Linked DNA regions of Arabidopsis thaliana. The protein of the gene in region 3 purifies or fractionates together with the protein of the main gene of each other region. This does not show direct contact. Each region holds a gene or a part of one and is shown on either strand. Other genes may lie near its edges.

Region 1 (10,174 bases), about 18 Mb from region 3:
TAATGGTTATGTGGATGCTTCCACATTGTATTGTATGATCTCTAAAAGCTCTTCAAAATTTTGATTACAGGGAGAGAAAGAGTGCTCTTATTACTTGAGAACCGGTCAGTGTAAATTTGGTTTGACTTGTAGATTCAACCATCCCGTGCCACTCGCTGTACAGGGTCCACCTCAGCAGCCGCAACAGCAGCAGCCACAGCCACAGCCGCAGCTACAGACTATTTATCCGACACTTCAATCTCAATCTATTCCTTCGTCTCAACAATATGGGTTAGTTTTGACTAGGCCTTCTTTTTTAACTGGTTCATATCTTCAAAGCCCTTACGGTCCTCCAATGGTTCTGCCTCCTGGAATGGTTCCATACTCTGGTTGGAATCCTTACCAGGTAAATCCATCTTCTAAGCCTTTATCTCGCTTTTGTAGGATTCTTCATTGCTACTCTTTTTGTAAATGAATCTATCGACTTTTTAGGCTTCTTTAAGTGCAATGCCTTCGCCTGGAACTCAACCGTCTATTGGATCAAGCTCTATTTATGGACTCACGCCGTTATCTCCTTCAGCGACTGCATATACAGGAACATATCAATCTGTGCCTTCTTCAAATTCCACCTCAAAAGAGTTTCCTCAGCGACCTGATCAACCCGAGTGTCAATACTTCATGAGAACTGGTGACTGTAAATTCGGATCTTCGTGTCGATACCATCATCCTGTAGATGCAGTTCCACCTAAGACTGGCATTGTCCTCAGCTCCATTGGCCTTCCACTTCGTCCCGTAAGTCTTTTTTCATTTTTCTAGAGATACAAACTCGATCCAATATAAGATTTTCAACGAGTCTTGATATGATACGTTTCAATGTATTTGACAGGGCGTAGCGCAATGCACTCACTTTGCTCAACACGGAATCTGCAAGTTTGGACCGGCGTGTAAGTTTGATCACTCAATGAGTTCTTCGCTTAGCTACAGTCCGTCTGCATCATCACTAACTGATATGCCCGTGGCGCCATACCCAATCGGATCATCCTCACTCAGCGGCTCATCAGCTCCAGTAAGCTCTAGCAATGAACCCACCAAAGAGGCTGTGACTCCTGCAGTTTCTTCTATGGTCAGTGGCTTGAGCCGTCCTGAGCCAGCTGAGACGAGTGGTGACTCAGCCAGCGTCAGTGGCAGCATAGAAGCTAAGACTTCAAGTTAAAAAAAAAAAAGAGAGGAAAATATTCTCAATTCTTCATGAACTAAGCAACATTAAGAAAAAAAGAGAAAAGAAGATTATTTTTGGGGTCTGAGATTTGATGGAAGCAGAGAGACTAAAGCTTCTGTCATTGACCATTTGTCCATATATAATATATTCTCTCATACGGCCATCTCTCCTCTCTTGTTTATTTTTCTTGAATAACGAATTACTAATAAATGGCCTTATTCAAGCGACATTCATCAGAAGTCCCCTGTTTTTATTCCTTCATGAATCTGGAGGAGTAATTTAAAATGTCTGCGAACGTAGAAAGAAGCATAAACGGATATAGTGTACACATTTTCTCTTCCTCGTTCTTGTAAGTTGTATCCAATGACATCTACATTCAATCACTGCACATTGCACGAACAATGCCTATGTACATCTTCTTTCCACAAAAGTATCAGATCTCTCCTCTCTAAGTAAATAAAATGCAACCGTTGAACAAAGAAGTAATAAATTGTGGAAAAAATCGTCTGTTCATATATCCCTCAGAAACTCATAACTTTTGCTTAAGCTTCAGCCTAAGTTGCCATCCAATGGCCTCAAATCCTTTTGTTCAGTTTCTTTACGGAAGAGAAGTCTACAAAATTATAATTAAGTCATTTCATTAAATCCAAGTCAAACCAGGACAAACATTCATGAAAGCAGAATGAAATCCATTTGCTATGTTTTTAACATTAGCTTAACTATATGTAACAACAAAGACTCGACAGATCCGTAAACACATAATCTCATCTCATCGACAGGTGCTTCCGCTTCTTCGTCGATGAAGGACTCTCACTTGCTTGTCTTCCTAAAGGTCGCTTTGATGGTGTTGCACTCTTCAAAGATTAAAAACCAGAAAAGCATTAACCACCTAAAGAAATCAAATCAAAAGAATACAACCTTATACATGAAAATATTGCATTATTTTACCTTCGCGAGCTTCTTCTCTTTGCGGGCTTGCCTCTCTCTTTCATCAAACTCCTGGTTCTCTTTCTCGATCAGTCGAATCAGAGTGTCGCATCTTCTTGCAAGTTCCTGACTCGTGCGGGATTTCACAAACCAGTCAAACCTGAACACAGACGATGTCCTAAATGCTGCCTTTAGCTCATCCCAATTCCCATAACCAAGTTTGTGAATCATGCAGATCTGTTTTTCACCACCAAAGTTCCTCAACAGTCAAAAACTTCATGATATAATTAATGAGACAGAACAGCAAAAAGGGAAACGAGAAAAAGACATACCATGAAACGGTCACACTCTTCATTGTACAGCTTGCCTTTGTTCTGACCATATTGAATCTTCAGTTCCAGCCAAGGGTTTCTGTAGCGATCCAGTTTCTTCCCTATGGCCTTCATGATTTCGTCTTTCCTAGAGATCCTTGCCTCTCCCCTCTCAATGTTCTTAATGATTCTATCATAGTCTACATATTTAGAGGGAAAGATGATAAACTTACTTAGCATAAGCTCTTTTTGGAGGTAGGAATTACTTAGAAACATGTAAAAACACTGCATAACTTAGCATTGAAAGGTGTTACTTACCGTTCAGCTCCTTGTACCGCTCTTTAAATACTTTGGCATATCTTTCAACTTCTTCCTCTGTTTTCCCTTCCATCTCAGAGGCAATGCTTTTTATGTCGTTGCGGCCATACTTCTCACAAGCCCTGAGGAAAGTATTAAAATCTCTTCTGCTCCATGTTGAGAAACCCTGGAGATTGACAATTACAAAAAATTAATTAAAGCCTACCAAATCAAATGTCTAAGACCACTCTAACATCAAACATATTCACTTGCCTCCTCCAATAATCCCTCCTTTTCTTCTACTTCTTCAGTAGTTAAGGGATCCCCACCTTCTAACAAAAAAATTCTTAATCAGTAATAGGTTTGCTGAAAAACATGTTAACAAAGTGGGTACATGTTAACAAAGTGGGTACAAGCTTGACCTTCTGGTTCTTCAACATCAATTGTGTCTTTCAACTGATTTTTCTGATGTGTTTGCTGAAACCAAAAAGCACAAAAAGAAGCAAGTTGCTTTTATAAGGCAAAAAAACTCGCTCTTAAGCACATCAAAGGAATCAAGTGTTTCGTTTTGAGAGAGGCCTACCATGAGATAACGTACTTCCTTTTCATACAACTCGGTCAATCTCTGAATGTTAAAGAACTGGAAATCGTGCCTGAAAGAGGGACAATAAATTAGATTTCTAGTGTAAGAAAATCATCAAAACAGGGAAAAGGCATTCAACAATGAGATGGAGGTTGTTGAGGTACTCACAACTGGGGCATGCGCGGAATTCTAGGCTCTTTAGGTTTAGCTGGAGCACCTTGCCGCAATGTTTGCTTAAAGTACTCAGATTCAGAGTAGCTGAAGATACAGTAGATAAAACAAAAGGGATGTTTCTTTTAGATATGAAGACTGGCAAAATAGGACTGCACAATGTATAAGACAGAAGTAATCATTACTTGCGCTTTCTCTCCCGCTTGGGGGGATCATTCCAATTGTCGCTTACAATCTTTTTAAAATCGAGCTTGTTTTCATCCTATGAACAAATTTACAAATATATTAGTAAATTTTATCATCAGTAATGCAGAGCAAAGCTAGGGATATGACATGAAAGTTAAGACTATGCAAAGAAATATACAAGTTACCTTATTGTCATCATCAAAATCATAGAAGTCAGCACCTACAACAAATAAAACAACAGATTATCAAAACATTACAATATTCACACAACCTAATAGGGGAAATAGTAGGTAAGTGACACCCTTACTGTCATCCATTTTAAACTGTATAGCATCTTCTGTGAATTTCTTCATCTTAGCATCAAGTTCAGCTGTTGCCTCTTCTCCTTTGGCAATGATTCTATCAATATCCTCGTCTGTGATTGTGCTATCTTTAGAACTGAACACCATCTCAGCACCATATCTTACCATTTGAAGCAACTCATCCTTATTGACAGCTGCATAGTTAAGATAAATACCAATTCTGTCAGAGATGAACCAATGCATAAAGCAATCACTGTATAACGCACTTACTTTTCTGTTCTGCCAATCTCCCTTGTTGAATAACCAGAGCATCAAGTGCTAACTTCTTGTAAGCTCTTTCAATCACTTTCTCCTCAATAGCAGACTGTAAACAAACAACACATAATTAATTTTAAACCTCTCATGGCTGTTTTAACTTGAAATTCACGGAGAGGAGACCAACCTCAGTGCAGAATCGAAACACTTGAACTTCTTTTTTTTGACCAATCCTATGGGCACGATCCTGAGCTTGCAAGTCGACTTGTGGGTTCCTGCCAGAATATGCCAGACTCGTCAAACGTGAAGAGAAAGTTCATAAACTACAGTGGACAATGATGAGAGACTTACCAATCACTATCGTAAAGGATCACAACATCTGCAGTAGCAAGATTGATACCAAGCCCTCCAGCTCTAGTAGATAACAAGAAAACAAATTTCTCACTTCCTGGCTTGTTGTAGGCTTCTATGGAGGCATCTCGTTCGTCACCACCAGTGTTTCCATCAATACGGCAATACAAGTAACCACGATACATTAAATAGTCCTCAAGAATATCCAAAAGTCTTGTCATCTGACATGTGGAAAGAAAAGAATAAGGCTCAGACTTTACATAGACAAAGGAAAAAGAGAAGATGAACTGTAAGAAACCATTATATCCAGCTGTTCTGTATTAGCGTTTACCTGAGAAAATATCAGCACCCTTGAATCACGTTCTTTCAACTTAGGAAGCAATTTATCCAAGAGAACCATCTTACCTAAAATAACAATATAGAGATGCTTCATAAAAAACTTCCACAGAAATCTGAAGGATCTAGTTTATTTCTAGCCTTACCAGCATTTGTTATAAGGTGATCTCCTGTGGTATATGGGGGACCAGGTTCTGCACCCTGGAAGAGATAGGGGTGATTGCAGCATTTACGCAGTTGCATTGCAATGTTTAGCAGACGTTTGCGTTCTCCACCAGCATTAACCGCTTCAAGATCCTTCTGCAGTAAAGCCTTGTAGTATTGCTTTTGCATCTGAGACATACCAACTTTAAGTATGGTCTCCTTCTTCGGTGGCAAACCTTTCTCAACATCTGACTTTAGTCTTCGAAGAAGAAATGGTCGAAGAACCTAAAAAGATACATGAAAGCAATTAACCTACGACTCACACAGAACAGAATAAACTCAATGCAAGGAATGGGTGCATCCATACCTTGTGCAGTTGTTGCACAACTTCTTGCTGGTCATTCTCACCAGAAATTTGAAACCATTCATCAAAAGTCTCTGCTGAACTAAAAATCTCAGGCAGAAGAAAATTTAGAAGAGCCCACAGTTCATGGAGATTATTCTGCATATATGAGGACAATATGAGTACAGCAGGCTACACAGTCATTATACGGTAAATATTAAAAGTGCCCGGAAAAGCAAAAGTTAAGAGTGCAAACAGAGCCGTACAAGAAAGGTTGTTTCAACATTCAATTAGAAGCAACTTAACAAAGAAAACTTCAATGTCCAAATATTCAAGAATAAGATAGAGCAAACACCTGAAGGGGGGTCCCCGTGATAAGAAGCCGATAATTGGTGCTAAAAAGTCTCATGGTTTTAGAAAGGAGTGAATTCTCGTTCTTGATTCGATGCGCTTCATCAATGATAATATAACGCCAGCTAAACCGACGAAGTGCTGTCTTCTCTTTGATGGCCATCTCAAAGCTTGTGACACAAATATCAAATTTCCCAGCAACTAGCAGGTCTTCTCGAATATGTCTCTGCATCAGTTAGCAGACATTTCAGAATCCTGGGATAAACGTTTACATGAAATTCTGAAATGGCAGACAGCTCATGACTTACCCTCTCCTCAGGATTACCAAGGAACTTCACAGCACGTAGGACAGGACAAAACCGGCGAATTTCGTTCATCCAATTACCAAGTGTTGATTTTGGAGCAACCACCATATGGGGACCATTGATTCCCCTGTATTCATGAAGATATGCCAACAAAGAAATCGTTTGAAGCGTCTTCCCCAGACCCTAGACCACAGGGAAAAAAAAGTTTCATGATTAGCATGACAGAATATAGAGAACTTATTCTGCTTGGATCGTTGGGGGAGAATTATTTACCATTTCATCAGCAAGAATTCCATTTATGCCATTCTCATAAAGACGAATGAGCCAGTTCAAACCAGCTAATTGGTAATCTCTCATCTTCCCTTGAATACCTGTCGATTGAGAAGAAAAATAGATGAATCTCAAGCTTTCCCAGTAATTTACGCTATACTACATACTAACTGTGAGGTCACAAAAATATGTATGGTTACGCAAATGGACGGAGATGTCAATCATATTGTACTTGTTGCTCGAGACTAGAGAGACGATTAATATACAGTAATCCTAGACTAAAGAGCAAAATACAGGTACTTACAAGAGGGCTGTGTGAGTAACCGTGTGTTTCCAGATCCAGTTAAGCCATCCTCTTCTTCCTTTAGATACTCTTCGTCTTCCTCCTCTTCAGTTATTTTGGAAGCATGACGTCCCCTGAAGGTAGAAGTTAAAACCACATAAATCAGGGCCTGGCTCATCATATTTACTCTGAAGCTAGAAGCAATGATGAACCGATATTTTAGGAAAAAATTGCATCTAACACACCTTCCTTTTGCCTTCTTCTGAGAAGAAGATCCATCACTTTTAGCAAAGTGGGCAAATAACTCAGTTTGCTGCAGAAGATACTTCAGTCTCCCTTTTCCCTTATTGTTCTAAAACACATGGAATGATTCAGAATCGTCAGAACTTAAAAGCACGAGAACGAAAAGTAGCTAAAAACCTGAAATATATAGTTCAAACAACGCACCATATCCGCGTCAATGGAAGCATTCTGCGACTCCAGCATCTCTTGAATCTTCTGCTTCTTCAACTTCTGCATCTCTTTAAGTCTGGCTTTCTCACGTTTGCTGATTTCAGCTTTTTCCTCATCTTCTTCGTCCTGCTTATACCACAATGAGCCACCATGCGCAGACATTCAATGAACTTTCACTCAACAAAAATTCGACTAAAACTAACAAACGAAGGAAGACGCGAACGCCGAATCCATTGCATTAAATGAAATTTCAACTTTCCAAGTACAAAAAAGATGCAGTTCACTGAGATTTCAAAAATCACAGCCATCAAAACGAAATTAGCCTGCAGCTACCTCGTAATCATCTTCTACGGGAGCAGCCTCTCCGTCGGAGACTGGTGATTCGTCGGCGGCGGCTACTTCGTCATCGTCGGAGCCAGAAGAACGAGCAACAGCCTCGAGCTCCTCCTCATCTTCTTCTTCATTATCCTTAACCCGCTCTTCTTCCTCCTCTGACGAGAAAGCCTCATCGGAATTCGAATTTCTCGCCATGGAAGCTACGAAATCTGCTTTCGCCTTGAGATCGAGGGTTCGCTTCGCTTGTGAGAAAGTAAAATAAAGATTTTAAAAAAAAAGTGAAACTTTAGATACAAATTGCAAAACGACCGAAGCTTCAGGGTAATTTGTAACCGTTGATTAAGCTGAATAAATATATGGCTACGATGTAACTAGTCGCTTCATCGAACGGGGAATTAGTAATTAATTACCCGCCACCTGAGCAAGAGAGTTGTTTTGGAACATTCGCGATTTGGGCTTTGTTTAATCATAGTTGGGCCTGACTGACCCATAAGACCCACTTTCAAGCCCGATATTTTCCCCAACTTATTACTATGCTGGAGCTGCTCGAGAAAGATTCTCCAGTTACACTATTTTTAATCTTTGTGATTGATCATCGCCCCCAATTTGTTAAAGCTATCTCTAATTTTATATATTTGGATTTACTAAAACCAGTTAGGTATTATTAAGATATGAAATAAAAATCATGATGAGTTCATATATATTATTACTGTTAGGTCTGACTTTTTTTGTGTTGTTCTCAGACTTGTGCAGTCACTCTGTATTGGTATCAAGAGATAAAGTTTGGTGATTTTGCTAAGACAAAACTACTCTATTTCGACTGGATTAGTATCTGAAATAGCTTTATCCATGTTAAAACATTATAATATGTTTGAGAAGTGCTGAAGTGGTCATGCTACTGGGACATTTGTTTCTTGCAGTTTAATGTTTTTACATAAAATAAGATATCCATTTACATGATTTGCAGCCACAAGCAGAAAGCAAAGTGATACCTAAGAGCATGTATAAAATTACCTTTTTCATGCAGATGATTGGTTAACCACTCCTACTGTTCTTTACTCTCCTTTTTTGTATTTTGTTTTTGATTACCGTCGCCCAATTTCCTCACCAACCTTCCCGGGGTTGGCCTAACACATTCCCATTGTATATATCTACATTATCCATAACTTATACCTATAGAAATATATTAATTTTTCTATTAATCAAAAATAGATATGCATGCAAAATTTGTTGTAACAAACATTATATGTTAACGTTGAAATAAAACTACAACATCTAGTGAATTTTCCAAAAACTATTTCGAAATTTTAAACAATGAAAAATGCAAGCTAGAAATTAAATGAATTGATATTCATGTTCCTGTATATATACATTAGTGAATAGTGTAAATAAATATAAATTTGTTTCTTGGCGTGTGGGTAATAACTACAACTCATCACCGGGACTATCTATATATATATACTCACAAATAATCTCATGTAGCGGCCAACTTCATAACTCACAGTCCAAACTTAACCACAACCTAATCCACAAAAGAGTTATAGAATCATCTGATGGCGTCTACTGAGAACCCTGACCCTGAAACTGGCAAATCTGAACCGATTCCCGCGTCGGCTACACCACCACCCTCATCAGCCGCCAGTTTCCTAGATTGTCGTAAAATAGACATTATAACAAGAGTTCTGCTTTTCTCCGCCACTCTGACTGCTCTTATAGTAATGGTGACTAGCGACCAGACAGAGATGACTCAGCTCCCTGGAGTTTCGTCTCCGGCTCCTGTCTCCGCCGAGTTCAATGACTCGCCCGCTTTCATGTTTGTCTCTTTAATTAATTAAATTCCTCCATGTTTGATCATAATCATGGAATGTTTTCTAGTTTAAACTTAATGTGTTAAATTGGCTATATATCTATGCAGATACTTCGTGGTTGCTCTCGTGGTAGCTAGTTTCTATGCGCTCATATCAACACTTGTCTCCATCTCTCTACTCTTGAAACCTGAGTTCACTGCACAGTTCTCCATTTACCTAGCCTCGTTAGACATGGTAACTTGTTTTACAAGGAACTTTGAAACTTCCATATACCATGTTAATTAGGGTGTTTTAAGTAATAATTCCGGAATATGTATATATGAACAGGTGATGCTGGGGATTTTGGCGTCTGCAACGGGAACGGCGGGAGGAGTTGCGTACATAGCGTTGAAAGGAAACGAAGAAGTTGGGTGGAACAAGATCTGTAATGTCTACGACAAGTTTTGTCGTTACATCGCAACTTCGCTTGCCTTATCTCTATTTGCTTCACTTCTTCTTCTAGTTTTATCCATCTGGTCAGCACTCTCCAAGAGAACATGAACAAAAGCTTATAAATCCATCCTTTCCCTGTACTGTGTATTTGTTCACACGTGTTTGTCTGTGTCTTGATTTGTTTTGTTTATGTTATATTAATGTAAAAGCATGCGTTTCTATATACAGTACGAAGTTGCATTCGTGTATCTCTTGTCGCGTAATATACTAATATGTAACTTCTTTATCCAAAATTCGGTCTTCATATACAACAAATTAAGATTCAAGAAAACTCTTCATATACCAATCACTGAAATCTCTCTCGAGCCCTGAGACATTGCTTGCTCACATCAAGACTTGTTGCAAGAAACACGGAGTCATCGTCTCAGGACAAAACTCATCCGAACCAAACCTTGGCGGTTTTGAGAGGATCACAGAGAACCTAAAGGACGAAAATACAGCGATAGATCTGTTCACTTACCAGAGAATGGGA
Region 2 (7,362 bases), on a different chromosome or scaffold from region 3:
ACACATTTATTATTATTATTATATAGATATTTCAACTTTTTATAATTAGAATTTGCACCATATAGCAAAAGTTTCCGCTATTTCACCTTTGCATTTTACAATTCTGCCATTTTATTCGACATTGGTTGTCACCTTTATTTTATCCCACATTTTTTCTAATTAGACCATAAGTCATTTTTTTGGTTTCCGTTTGATTGATGAATTCAACATTTTTGTTGTATATGTTCCACGATTTTGCAATGTTCTTCTCAATCGAAGCTAAAGGGATTATATAGACAATTATTGTGTGTGTTTGAATATAGGACGCAGATATAATGTGGCTTAGAGATCCATTTCCTCGGTTATATCCAGATGGAGACTTCCAAATGGCGTGTGACAGATTCTTTGGAAATCCTTATGATTCAGACAATTGGGTCAATGGTGGTTTCACATACGTGAGATCAAACAATCGAAGCATTGAGTTTTACAAATTTTGGCACAAATCTCGTCTAGATTATCCAGACTTGCATGATCAAGATGTGTTCAACAGAATCAAGCATGAGCCTTTTATCTCAGAGATTGGAATCCAAATGAGATTCTTTGATACAGTTTACTTTGGTGGGTTTTGTCAAACGAGCAGAGACATAAACTTGGTTTGCACAATGCATGCTAATTGTTGTATTGGTTTGGACAAGAAGCTTCATGATCTGAATCTTGTCCTTGATGATTGGAGAAAGTACCTGTCTTTGTCAGAACCAGTGCAGAACACGACGTGGAGTGTTCCTATGAAGTGTTTGGAAGATTGAGATTTCCTTCTTTCTTTGTTTTGTTGAGATTTGGATGAAAAGTATATTTAAAAATGAAGAGTTTATTGTTCGTGCAAGGAATATTCTTTAGCTCTCTAATCTAATCAAATATTTTTTTTGATGGTTAATTTTCTCTGTTTGTTAATGTCATTTTTTGTTTTCCGAGCCGAATGCTAGAAAGTACTAAAATAATCTTCTAGACTTTTAGTGTTTTTGGTTTGAAATGTTAATGTATTGAATAAATTGTGTTGTGAAATGATACGATTTTTGTTTCAAACTTTTTCTGAAATTTCTCAAAGTTTTTGATCTTATTTTCAATTACCGAAGCACAAGTTGTAAAAACGTATATATTTTTTCTTTTGAATATAATTTGACATTACATTAAAAAAAAGAAAGAAATGATACGATTTTGATTTTGGTAATATGAAAAATGATCAATGTAGTTTCATAAGTTCTATCAACGTAGATTTTGTAGTCATTTACCCGATTTGTAGATTTAAGTAGTTATTGGTTTGGTCAGTTATAATTTTGGTTTGGGCCTAGATTCGTTACAAGTTTTTTAAATTTAGATGAGATGGGCTGCCGGAGAAGCCCAACACAACATAGGTGGCTTGCCAATTTGCCCAGATGCTTTCGAGTGTAGGTTATATAAGTTTATCATATCTCCATTGGATTAAAAGTAGGCAAGATTTAAACAAAGTGATTCATCAATAATGATATGATATGTGTCATTCATTTACAAATTATGTAACACATAATAGATATTTTGTACCCTAAAATTTTGAAATTTATTGTACATAAATTTTAGAAAATCTGTTGGACTGTGACTAGTTCTTCAACTTATAGAGAGTTGAGTGTGTTTATAATCACATACTGCCTCTTTAAAAAACGTTAACCAAGTCGAAACTCGAATATGGTACTACCACACATGACAAAATAGAAAAAACACTTGAATGTTTACCAAGTAGTACTTGGTCCATTGGCCCAAAAAAAATGAGAATTTGTGCTCCTTTGAAAGGAGTTTTCAACTGCTAGACCCAACCCAAAAGAATGTACGATTAGGCACATTTTCCATAATTGATGTAATGTAAAGAAACACTTGAATTTTAAGTTTTACATATAATATTTACATTTAATTCATCTTCCTCATGAATATGTTGTTCAATTATCAAAGAACCTACAAAGATACAGTATTATAACTATAAGATCACCAAAGAAGAAAACAATCATTTGAATAACAAAAACAGTAAAACACCATATAATAAAACCGTGTTCTAGATACAAATGTAAACCATAGTATCTCACCTTGCTTATCGATTCATCTTTGTAAAAAAAACAAAAACAAATGTGTTCAACTTGGTTTGCAAAAAACAAATAACACAAGTACACAACCATCCATCCAATAACACAATCACAATATTTGTTTCCCAACATTTATGCAACCTTATTTTTAGTGGACACTAACCATAGAAGAACAAATTTCAGTTGTAGTGTTACAAAGTCCATTAAAATTACGCGTTATCAATTACAAAACCACATCTGTTTTTTTTTTTTTTAAACACTTTAAATTTTGTGTCAGATAAAATGAATATATGTTATGACAGCAATCACTTTCAAAAGGCCTATCAAATGGGTCCCAAATGTATAATCCTAATGTCAATCACAAGTAACCTAAGTTCGGCCCAAATACCTGATGGTCCACTTTACAATTTTTCATTAAATAAATATTAAGTAAATAAAATAACAGTAAAAAAAAAGAGTTATTCAGTCTGAAGAACATTAAATTAAGGTTATTAACGTCAAAGAAAAGATAATCATTTTCTCTGGTGGCGGCGTTTTAAAAACATAGATTTGAAATTTTTAACTTTATTCTATAAAACTAAAAAGCTCTCTGTCTAGTAGTATCTAAACGAATTTAACTAAAACCAGCTAAAAACAAGAAGCATAAAAATAATATCAAAGTAGAAACTAAAGGATCTAATAAGTAAGACAAAATTCGAAATTAAGATCCATGGCGGATTTTTGTCTCTTCTCTCATTGGATCGCACTTGACACAAATGATGGTTCGAGACATAACAGCAGAGAAGGGTCCGGTCCGAACCGAAACGGAGGAAGAAAGCAAAAAGGCAAGACCTTTGTTGTTGGGTTGTTGATAAAGAGAGAGAGAGGGGGACACGTGTAGTGAAAAGAGAGGAAGAGAGGTCACTCTCCGTTCCCGGTTCTGTCTCGTGCGGTGCGATTGTTGGGTGCCATGTCAGAGTCCGTTCCCCTATGAGCCCGGCGAATCCGAATCATATGCCTTTCTTTTCGCTATCTCTCTCTCTCTCTCTCTCCCTTTAACCCAAACCCATCTCTCAAAGACTTGACCTTTCTCTCTCTCTATCTCTAATTTATTTATCGTTTCGCGTGTCGCCTTCTCTCTTTCTCTCATTCTCTCTCTCTCTTTCCCTTCGTATCTCTCTCTCGTGAGGCCGTGCCCTAGAAGAAGAAGAAGAAGAAGCCCCTTTCTCCGGGACTTCAATCCCTAACTTCCGTCGCCGGATTTCTCGTCCTTGATTATCGGAGGACTCTTTAACAACTTTATTCCGATTTCAGATTCCCAGATTTGTAAGCTGCTTTCTCCTTTCTGGGTATTTCCTCTTTTTGTATTTGCTTATGTAATTTCGATGATTTATCTTACTTGGTGAGGGGTTTTGATGCTTGTGTAATGTTAATGCTGTTTAATTAAGGACTGATTTAGTGTGATTCGGTTTAATTGAGTTTCTTTGGGGGGGAATTGGGTTTATCTCCAATGAAGCTTTATGTTTAGTGCCAATGTGTGTTGTTTAGCTCTTTTCTCTATTGATTTGTGTGTGAAATTATGTTTGTTTGAGTTTCATTACCAATGGCTGTCTTTACTTGAATCTCAGTGATTCATGAATTCTACCATCTGTCGTTGATTATTTCAGTTATATAGGATCATTGATCTATGTTTTAGAACTAGTGTATTATTGCCTTAGAGAACACCTGATTTTGAAGTAGAGGAATGTAGTTTGCAGTAGAGGAATGTAATTAAGTATGAATTTAATGGAAGTATTCGTAAGGAGTGAGGGAACGAATCGTTTATTATAAAAGCTGTGTTAAGATTAGATTACTTACTAGGTTTGTGTCTCATCTTTAATTAAGACTTTTGATTACGGATGGTGAGGCTTCTAACGTTATACCACCATTTTTAGGGGTGACATCATTTAGTTTCTTAGCTTCTATAGCTTATATGCTTGGATGACGCTGTTTGATTTCATATCGGTTTAAAAGTGAATGAAATTGTGGTTATGGCCTTATGGTTTGGTACACTGTGCTTTGTCCGATGCTGCATCATTGATTTGAGTTATACTTCATTTAATCTTATCAATTTTTCTGTTCAGTATTTCTGAGCATGTGTACAATTTAAGTATTTAACTACCTCACTGTTGTTTCAGTGTCTCTTGATCTTAGATTATGGTTTACATTACTCGTTTTTTGTTTACAATTTTAGTGTAGAGACAGAGTTTTTTGAAGGCCAGTATTCTTTAGTTACTTCGGTAGCTGTGATTTACACATGAAGGTCTATCCGGTTCTCTATCAAGCATATGGTATGGAAACAGAAGTAGAAAATGAAAGATTCAGGCAGTGAAATGATTAAAAGAGATTGGGTCATGAAGCAGAAACGAAGAAAACTTCCGTCTATACTAGATATATTAGACCAAAAAGTGGATAGTTCTATGGCTTTTGATTCCCCGGAATACACTTCTTCCTCTAAACCAAGTAAGCAGCGGCTTAAGACTGATTCGACTCCTGAAAGGAACTCCTCTAAGAGGAAAGGAAATGATGGGGTAACTTCATTTTATCTTTCTGGTGTTCTTAAAAGTTTGTCTCCTTATTTTATTATATGGTGTTGTTTAATTAATCATTTTTCTTTCCTTACAGAATTATTTTGAATGTGTGATCTGTGACCTTGGTGGTGATTTATTGTGTTGTGATAGTTGTCCTCGGACCTATCATACCGCATGCCTCAATCCACCTCTTAAGGTAAATGATTTTTTTTTTTTCCATGTGTCGTTTGTAGTCGTAGATTCGCAACACCTAAATTTGGGAAACTTGTCTTACTCCTTATCTCGTCTCCTCCAGCGGATTCCAAATGGTAAGTGGATCTGCCCAAAATGTTCCCCAAACAGTGAAGCACTCAAGCCTGTCAATCGTTTAGATGCCATTGCTAAGCGAGCAAGAACAAAAACCAAGAAAAGAAATTCAAAAGCCGGACCAAAGTGCGAAAGAGCTTCTCAGATTTATTGCAGTTCTATAATTTCTGGAGAACAATCTTCAGAGAAAGGGAAATCTATATCGGCCGAAGAGAGCAAATCCACAGGAAAGGAAGTTTATTCTTCCCCGATGGATGGCTGTTCAACTGCTGAGCTTGGTCATGCATCTGCGGATGACCGACCTGATTCATCGTCTCATGGAGAAGATGATTTGGGGAAACCCGTCATACCCACTGCAGATTTACCATCTGATGCAGGATTAACGTTGCTGTCCTGTGAAGATCTCTCCGAATCTAAACTATCAGATACGGAGAAAACTCATGAAGCACCCGTGGAGAAGTTGGAACATGCTTCCAGTGAGATCGTGGAGAACAAGACAGTTGCTGAAATGGAGACTGGAAAAGGTAAAAGGAAAAAACGGAAGCGTGAACTAAATGATGGGGAAAGTCTTGAAAGGTGCAAGACTGATAAGAAACGCGCGAAGAAAAGTTTGTCCAAAGTGGGTTCCAGTTCTCAGACTACCAAATCACCGGAGTCTTCGAAAAAAAAGAAAAAGAAAAATCGTGTGACTTTAAAATCCTTGTCCAAACCTCAGTCCAAGACAGAAACACCAGAAAAAGTGAAGGTATGATTTCCTACTCATGATAGATTTTGTAGACATTCTACTATGCTGATACTAGGGAAATGAATTGTCTGAAACCTTAAAATGTTGCATCCACGCCTTTTTCTTAAGTGTGTTGTAGCACTAAAAAGATATAAAAGAAAAAAAATTCAGAGATCAGAGATTTGGTAGAGTTACAAGATTCAGAATCGTTTCAAGATTGTTTGACACTCTGTATTTAATGTTGAGTATCTTCTGCATTAATGTAAAGAGTCTTTGGTCAATATTGCATGTAGTGTTTCTTGTTCTGTCCTGAAGATTGTGGCTATTTTAAGTTCTTATATAACCAGAGTGACATTTTGTTTTGCTTATCATTTTGCGACTCTTCACAAACTCAATATTGTTTTGCCTGTTTATTAGTATAGTGGTTTCTCACAAGTAGTTATGATACATGTGACTATACCTCTGTTTCGGCAGATGAATTATGGATACCTCTTTTAACTGCAGGAGCTTGGAAATAGTTTGATTTTTTTTCTTTAGGAATTTAGAGTTGAAATTTCTTGATGGTCCTATTGATTTCTTTTTTTATTCGTTGTTGTTCTTGCATCATCTTTCATTTAGTATATGTTCTTAACCACTTATACGTACTAATGCAGAAGCTTCCCAAGGAGGAACGTCGTGCAGTACGTGCCACTAATAAATCTTCTAGTTGTTTGGAAGATACAAACTCTCTTCCGGTTGGAAACCTCCAGGTATCCATCAAAATAAAAATGTTGTTCCTTCAGAATTATCTATTATGATGCGCCCTCATTTCTGGTGACTCATGTGTTGCTCATGCTTGTTAATATCTCTTTTCATTCTTTTGTTTGTGGTTTCCTAACAGGTTCATCGTGTTTTAGGATGCCGAATCCAAGGTCTGACTAAAACCTCGCTGTGTAGTGCTCTTTCAGATGACTTGTGTTCGGATAATTTACAAGCTACTGACCAACGGGATAGCTTAGTACAAGATACGAATGCTGAATTAGTAGTTGCTGAGGACAGAATAGATTCTTCTTCTGAGACAGGTAAAAGTTCGAGGGATTCACGACTGAGGGATAAAGATATGGATGATTCTGCTTTAGGTACCGAGGGTATGGTTGAGGTGAAAGAAGAGATGCTTTCTGAAGACATTTCCAATGCCACATTGAGTAGACATGTGGATGATGAAGATATGAAAGTTAGTGAAACGCATGTATCTGTTGAGAGGGAGTTACTTGAAGAAGCACATCAGGAAACAGGGGAAAAAAGCACTGTGGCTGATGAAGAAATTGAGGAGCCTGTTGCTGCTAAAACTTCAGATCTTATTGGTGAGACTGTATCATATGAGTTTCTTGTTAAATGGGTGGATAAATCTAATATTCATAATACTTGGATTTCTGAGGCGGAGCTGAAAGGTCTAGCTAAAAGAAAACTAGAGAACTACAAAGCAAAGTACGGAACAGCTGTAATAAACATCTGTGAAGATAAATGGAAACAGCCTCAGCGAATAGTTGCTCTCCGGGTTTCAAAAGAAGGTAACCAAGAAGCTTACGTAAAGTGGACAGGCTTAGCTTATGATGAATGCACGTGGGAGAGCTTGGAGGAGCCTATTCTTAAACATTCATCCCATTTAATAGATCTTTTTCATCAGTATGAGCAGAAAACATTGGAAAGGAATAGT
Region 3 (6,793 bases):
CGAAGAAGACATGGAACCGTTCATGGAAGTAGATGGCAAAGAAGTTGACAAGTCATATTATGATGGTCTTAGCTCACTGTTGGTGAACTCTACAAATGATACAAACCGCGAGGCTTTTCCTAACCCCACCGAGCAAGAACCTTCCATTGCACCAACTCATCCAGGAGAGGCAACCCTGGATGATCATGTGATGCTTGAGCTAGATGGTACAATCGCTTTAGATCCTCATCCTGAGATTGTTGGGGGTGTAATCTGCTGTTTATTAAACGAAGAGGATCCTGATATTCCGTGTAATGATGACATTTTCCTGTCCAACAACTCCCGTCCGATGTCAGTTTCTTCTTTAGCCCGGCGGAACTTTAAGGATACCAATAGTCCAATAACTACATGTGTAAGAGACGTCTCCGCCAGTAAGGAAAAAAGTGAGGGATATTCACTCCAGGCTCAAAAGAAAAAACCAGGACGTTTACAGGGGTCTACTCAAGGAAAGCCAGAGATGGGCCAACCAAGTAAAGGTAGCAAATTCAGGGCATCGACTAGTACTGAGTTAAAGAATACTGTAGCTCCTGGTGGTTCTTCCTCTGCACAGGCTTGCTCTAATACTCTACTTTCTACTGGTACCGGTGCAAAAGATGGAAAGAAAGAAACTGCTACTGGAACACTCTTTGTCGGATCTGATGGCCATGGCAACCACCCAGAGAAGGATAGTGAAAATTGTAAAGAGAAAAATGTTGTACCACCTGTTAATGAATCGCCACATGCTAAAGATACTGATGATGGCTTGATAGAGATTACAGTCCCTGAGCTGGAGATCACCCGTGCAGAAGCAGAAGCAGAAGCAGAAGCGCATGTTTGTGAGAGTGATGAGGACTTACCCAATTATTCTGACATTGAGGCTATGGTAACTCTTGACTTCCATCTTTATTCTTGTGCTATGGTTCCATGACACGTAAACACCTAATCCATAACACTCTTTTTTATTTCAGATACTTGACATGGACTTGGAACCTGATGATCAAGATAATTTTGATCTCGAAGGTAGTTGAGCGTCCCTTCTCGTCCAGTGGAACTCATGTTTCTTTCTATCTATCTACATTTTTGGGAAAAGAAAGCTTTTAGTATGTGAATAGGAATGTATTTCGGCATTTGGCTCCTAAAAGTTATTACATGCTGCAGTGATGTGGGAAACCTTTTCTATGGGTAGCGTATGAGATGTTAGAAGAGGTTTAAGGCTTGTTTGTAAATCCCTAAAATGTTTTCACTTGCAGTCTCCAAGTATCAGAGCCAAGACATGAAAAGAACAATCATAAGACTTGAGCAGGCTGCTCATTCATATATGCAAAGAGCCATTGCTTCCCGTGGTGCATTCGCTGTTTTATATGGCAGATATTCAAAACACTATATCAAGAAGCCTGAGGTAATATTATCTTATTCGTTTAATATTCCTTGTATGATTTGATAAGCTTCTTAAGAATTATAGTAGCACTTGTTGATATCGGGGTTCTTTTTTCTTAACATAGGTTTTGGTGGGTAGATCAACAGAAGACCTCGCTGTGGACATTGATTTGGGAAGAGAAAAGCGGGGTAGCAAAATATCTCGACGACAGGTCGGTCAATAGTAGATACTTCTATTTGTATTTTAGGTCTTTAAGTTGTATGAGAAGCAGCAGCCCAGGATCTGTAATGGTTGTTGTGTATGTTTTTTTCCTTTTTGGGTTACTGAATGCAGGCGATCATACGGCTGGGTGATGACGGTTCGTTTCATATAAAAAACCTGGGGAAGTATTCAATCTCAGTAAATGAGAAGGAAGTAGATCCTGGACAGAGTTTAATCCTCAAATCCGATTGTCTAGTTGAGGTTTGATCCGGGATACTCTTTTATGATCATTACTTACGCTTCTAGGTCCGTACTTAAACCCGATATATGTGCGCGCAGATACGGGGAATGCCTTTTATATTTGAAACAAACCAAAGTTGCATGCAAGAGTACCTGAAGAGAAGAGGGAAAGTGAACTGAGACCAGATCAAGAGTGCGTGTTGTTTGTGTAGATGAATGATGCATCTCTTGTGTAATGTACCTTAGCCATAGGAACACGTCTTGTAGATCTTTTAATACATCTTTAGTTCCGCATCATGCATAGTTGACCCTGTTTTAAGGCGTTGAAATGAAAATACAAGTCTCTTGTATCTGAATTTGTGTTTTAAGCGAAGAATGATTGTTCTTGTGAAGTTGATACACAAGTTCTTTGGATATCCTATCAGTATAAAGGATAGGTTTCCATTTTCGTGACTCACTCACTGATTTCCATTGCTTGAAAATTGATGATGAACTAAGATCAATCCATGTTAGTTTCAAAACAACAGTAACTGTGGCCAACTTAGTTTTGAAACAACACTAACTGGTCGAAGCAAAAAGAAAAAAGAGTTTCATCATATATCTGATTTGATGGACTGTTTGGAGTTAGGACCAAACATTATCTACAAACAAAGACTTTTCTCCTAACTTGTGATTCCTTCTTAAACCCTAGGGGTAATATTCTATTTTCCAAGGATCTTTAGTTAAAGGCAAATCCGGGAAATTATTGTAATCATTTGGGGAAACATATAAAAGATTTGAGTTAGATGGAAGTGACGATTAATCCAAACATATATATCTCTTTCTTCTTATTTCCCAAATTAACAGACAAAAGTAGAATATTGGCTTTTAACACCAATATAAAAACTTGTTCACACCTAAACACTTTTGTTTACTTTAGGGTAAGTGTAAAAAGCCAACCAAATCCACCTGCACTGATTTGACGTTTACAAACGCCGTTAAGTTTGTCACCGTCTAAACAAAAACAAAGTAGAAGCTAACGGAGCTCCGTTAATAAATTGACGAAAAGCAAACCAAGTTTTTAGCTTTGGTCCCCCTCTTTTACCAAGTGACAATTGATTTAAGCAGTGTCTTGTAATTATACAACCATCGATGTCCGTTGATTTAAACAGTGTCTTGTAATTAAAAAAATCAGTTTACATAAATGGAAAATTTATCACTTAGTTTTCATCAACTTCTGAACTTACCTTTCATGGATTAGGCAATACTTTCCATTTTTAGTAACTCAAGTGGACCCTTTACTTCTTCAACTCCATCTCTCTCTTTCTATTTCACTTCTTTCTTCTCATTATATCTCTTGTCCTCTCCACCAAATCTCTTCAACAAAAAGATTAAACAAAGAGAGAAGAATATGGCGAGAGGGAAGATCCAGATCAAGAGGATAGAGAACCAGACAAACAGACAAGTGACGTATTCAAAGAGAAGAAATGGTTTATTCAAGAAAGCACATGAGCTCACGGTTTTGTGTGATGCTAGGGTTTCGATTATCATGTTCTCTAGCTCCAACAAGCTTCATGAGTATATCAGCCCTAACACCACGTACACCATCTCTCTAAACACCACTCTTAAATTAAGCTAATTGAGTTGCTTTGTTTTCTTATAATTAACCACTACTTTTTTGGTGATTTTGTTGGTTATAGAACGAAGGAGATCGTAGATCTGTACCAAACTATTTCTGATGTCGATGTTTGGGCCACTCAATATGAGGTTTTTTTCCTTCTTAGATCTTTCTTCTTCTTCTTGATATGTGTTTCGCTGGTTGGTTAAATTCTTGATGCGTTTTGCTGCAGCGAATGCAAGAAACCAAGAGGAAACTGTTGGAGACAAATAGAAATCTCCGGACTCAGATCAAGTATTTGTTTCTCTCTCTTCTCTTAGATGAGGAGTTTTACTAAAAAAAATGAGTACGAAAATATACATATTTTTAAAATTGTAGGCAGAGGCTAGGTGAGTGTTTGGACGAGCTTGACATTCAGGAGCTGCGTCGTCTTGAGGATGAAATGGAAAACACTTTCAAACTCGTTCGCGAGCGCAAGGTTCTCTTCATACTTTTCCCTTACCTAGGGTTTCAATTAATCCTATATACCCAAGCTTCAGTTTTGAATTGAATTATTAAAAAATGAATTTTATTGTTGTATATATGTTTTAGAAAAAGAAACATTTTGTTTACTGTTGGATAATATATGTTAATTGTATTGTACTGTACAGTTCAAATCTCTTGGGAATCAGATCGAGACCACCAAGAAAAAGGTCACATCTTCTATGTCCACTCACTTTTCCATTTTATCATATTTATTTGTCTCAACAATTTTGTGTCAATTGAATTTATCAACTTACTAAAACTGTTGATAACACTTTTCTTGGACAATTATATTTGTGTGTGTGTGTGTGTGTTTAAGCTAATGGATAAAGAAAATACCAAGTATACTATATAGTGATGTCATAATAACTTGGGTATATATCTTCATAATTTTTTTGGGAGGGAATATTTCTTCATCATTTCTCTTGTGGTTTACACAATTGCAGAACAAAAGTCAACAAGACATACAAAAGAATCTCATACATGAGCTGGTAATATCTCTTTCTGTTTTTCTCAAATGTTGGTTTAGGCATAATACATTCATGGAATACGGAGCCAGTTAAAAAGATATCTAGAAATGTAGTGTAGATTGATCAGTCACTCTTATGTTTTCTTGTGATTCTCTTATCGAAATATCTCCTAGTTAAATCATATATCAAATGTCATGTCATTTCGAATTAATAATATTGGTTTTAGTTATGTGGAATATGGCTTAAAACATGTTTTGGTGAATTAGGAACTAAGAGCTGAAGATCCTCACTATGGACTAGTAGACAATGGAGGAGATTACGACTCAGTTCTTGGATACCAAATCGAAGGGTCACGTGCTTACGCTCTTCGTTTCCACCAGAACCATCACCACTATTACCCCAACCATGGCCTTCATGCACCCTCTGCCTCTGACATCATTACCTTCCATCTTCTTGAATAATTAAAGGCTAAAAGGTTTGCTGGTGCCATCATTGTCTATCTAATTATTTAGTAACTACTTAAAACATAAGGCATGGTGTTGCTAAAACCTTAAACTGTCATGTTTCTTAGTTATGTATTTTAAAGCCTAAAGAAATATGGATTGTGTGATCAGTAGTGCTTAGGCTTATTGTGTGTGGAATGTTTTCAAGACTTTTATCATGTATCGTATTATTATATTGACCACTCTACTTAATTATGCTACAAATTTACTCGATTTGATTTTCTACTTGAATGCATATATATTGTCTGATGAAATACAAATTGAAGTTGTTTCCACAAAACGAATAGACTACCAATCATACTATTGATTTACAAAACTAAAAAGTAAAGACAAATTTTTATACAAGATGTATTCCGAGCCAAATGCAACAACTTTTCGGGTTGTTATGTGTAACCCGAAAACAAAGATATTCAAATATTCACCCTAATGAAGACGTTCACGGTTACCAATATTGATCACAAGTTTGGATGGTAAGGCTCTTTTACTAAACTATCTAGCAAACCAAAAATCATCGCAATCAGAATTATGAATTAAGAGTTAGGAATAAACTTTTGCCTATATAACCTTCCTAGAAACTTCATAGTCCGGTCAATAATAAGACAGGGGAACTTGAAGAGGTCTAGCCTTTGAAGCCTTCTCTTAGTTCAAGATTCCTTGAAGCTCTTCCTTATTGCACATATGCCAGAGAAATTCATAGACATCTTAGCCTCCTTTGTGTTTTACGGTTCATTTAGTTTTTATTTCTTATCTGAACTTGGAGCATTAGAAAAGGGGCAAAGACATTGATTATTCAGAACCAACGAACAAGCCCTGAAACTGAAATACAAACCCTAAGCAGAACCCAACAAAAGAAAAAAAAGAAGAAGAAGCGGAAGAAATAGAAATTCAAACTAGAAGGCAAAGCTCTCTCTCTCAGACCAAATAGTTACAAGAAACCGAGGTTGTTGTTGTTGTTGTTGATGAAGCAGAGTCAGTAGATAAGCAAGACAATGGTGAAGAAGAAGAGGGTGGGCTCTCTCTTCCCACCACGCAACAATCCAGATTTTCCAAGTTCAAGCACTCGTGCTTCCCATCATCGAACATGAAGTCGATGTTGTCCTCAAATGCTAACTCATTGAATAGCTCCGGATACTCTATGGGATTCTCATTCGCGAGATTCTGATCAGTCAAAAACGGAGAAAACCCTGTATCCATCATACAGAAGTTCCAAGCCAGCTCATTGTTGTCCCCACAACGATCCATTTCCATTATGGTTGAAGAGTCTATGCAGCAATTGACCACTGCTGCTTCTTCTGAATATCCTACAATCTCTGCTTCTTGTTGCTCTGCTTTCTCTTCTTCCTTCTCTTCTTCTTCTTGCGGTGGTTCTTCCACGTACTGTTGTTTCACTTCTTCTCTAGGCTCTTCCTTCGCTTCTCTCGTTTCAACTTCTTGTTTGGCTTCAACAAGAATACCCTCTTGATGGTTAGCTTGGTTCACAGGGAACGGGAAAACACCTTTCTTCTTTAACCGGTCAATGTAATTACTAATGTCGAAATTAGTAACCGCGTTTGCGCCTCGATACTCAATCGCAGCCATGTCATATGCTGCAGCAGCTTCCTCCTGCGTATCTGTAAAACCAATAAATAGACAACTGTGTTAGCTAAAAAGCTTCTAAATCAAGACAATGCAAACAAAGTCAGTGTTTTGAAAGTTAACGCAACTTGTTGTTAACTTTCACATTACCTGGTAAGTGGCTATAACCAAATAAGACCAAACAAGTGTTAAAAAGAAGAGTTTCTTCTTTGTCGTTTCATATTTAAATTAGAGAATTTATGATACCTAATAAAGACAAAGAATCAATAGAATTTGGTGACGTGTTTTT

The links.
Region 1: the proteins of AP3 (region 3) and CHR11 purify together in Arabidopsis thaliana (affinity purification with mass spectrometry, with the first as the bait; one study listed by BioGRID). This does not show direct contact.
Region 2: the proteins of AP3 (region 3) and CHR4 purify together in Arabidopsis thaliana (affinity purification with mass spectrometry, with the first as the bait; one study listed by BioGRID). This does not show direct contact.

Annotation. Positions count from the first base shown.
Region 1 is NC_003074.8:1,938,489-1,948,662, reverse strand, and holds CHR11 (chromatin-remodeling protein 11), read right to left. Parts: upstream 7,691-10,174; 5' UTR 7,598-7,690; coding exon 7,400-7,597; intron 7,193-7,399; coding exon 7,061-7,192; intron 6,966-7,060; coding exon 6,859-6,965; intron 6,748-6,858; coding exon 6,635-6,747; intron 6,432-6,634; coding exon 6,334-6,431; intron 6,244-6,333; coding exon 6,064-6,243; intron 5,982-6,063; coding exon 5,760-5,981; intron 5,564-5,759; coding exon 5,429-5,563; intron 5,347-5,428; coding exon 5,064-5,346; intron 4,987-5,063; coding exon 4,913-4,986; intron 4,803-4,912; coding exon 4,582-4,802; intron 4,506-4,581; coding exon 4,418-4,505; intron 4,340-4,417; coding exon 4,246-4,339; intron 4,170-4,245; coding exon 3,975-4,169; intron 3,894-3,974; coding exon 3,859-3,893; intron 3,750-3,858; coding exon 3,673-3,749; intron 3,575-3,672; coding exon 3,485-3,574; intron 3,387-3,484; coding exon 3,317-3,386; intron 3,211-3,316; coding exon 3,156-3,210; intron 3,066-3,155; and 12 more. Other genes in the region: AT3G06410 (Zinc finger C-x8-C-x5-C-x3-H type family protein), read left to right, coding at 71-385, 472-771, 866-1,192; AT3G06390 (Uncharacterized protein family (UPF0497)), read left to right, coding at 8,956-9,215, 9,318-9,444, 9,538-9,750. UniProt on the Arabidopsis thaliana protein: Possesses intrinsic ATP-dependent nucleosome-remodeling activity. Constitutes the catalytic subunit of several complexes capable of forming ordered nucleosome arrays on chromatin. Involved in the formation of nucleosome distribution patterns.
Region 2 is NC_003076.8:18,089,218-18,096,579, reverse strand, and holds the start of CHR4 (chromatin remodeling 4), read left to right. Parts: upstream 1-2,672; 5' UTR 2,673-3,392; intron 3,393-4,299; 5' UTR 4,300-4,417; coding exon 4,418-4,636; intron 4,637-4,730; coding exon 4,731-4,832; intron 4,833-4,931; coding exon 4,932-5,687; intron 5,688-6,319; coding exon 6,320-6,415; intron 6,416-6,546; coding exon 6,547-7,362. Other genes in the region: AT5G44820 (Nucleotide-diphospho-sugar transferase family protein), read left to right, coding at 303-785. UniProt on the Arabidopsis thaliana protein: Chromatin-remodeling protein that binds DNA through histones and regulates gene transcription. May specifically recognize and bind trimethylated 'Lys-27' (H3K27me3) and non-methylated 'Lys-4' of histone H3. Probable chromatin remodeling factor.
Region 3 is NC_003074.8:20,117,522-20,124,314, reverse strand, and holds AP3 (K-box region and MADS-box transcription factor family protein), read left to right. Parts: upstream 1-3,000; 5' UTR 3,001-3,227; coding exon 3,228-3,415; intron 3,416-3,516; coding exon 3,517-3,583; intron 3,584-3,666; coding exon 3,667-3,728; intron 3,729-3,812; coding exon 3,813-3,912; intron 3,913-4,084; coding exon 4,085-4,126; intron 4,127-4,402; coding exon 4,403-4,447; intron 4,448-4,692; coding exon 4,693-4,887; 3' UTR 4,888-5,175; downstream 5,176-6,793. Other genes in the region: emb1967 (Forkhead-associated (FHA) domain-containing protein), read left to right, coding at 1-901, 987-1,038, 1,269-1,417, 1,521-1,607, 1,730-1,858, 1,937-2,017; WRI1 (Integrase-type DNA-binding superfamily protein), read right to left, coding at 5,716-5,745, 5,848-6,539. UniProt on the Arabidopsis thaliana protein: Probable transcription factor involved in the genetic control of flower development. Is required for normal development of petals and stamens in the wild-type flower.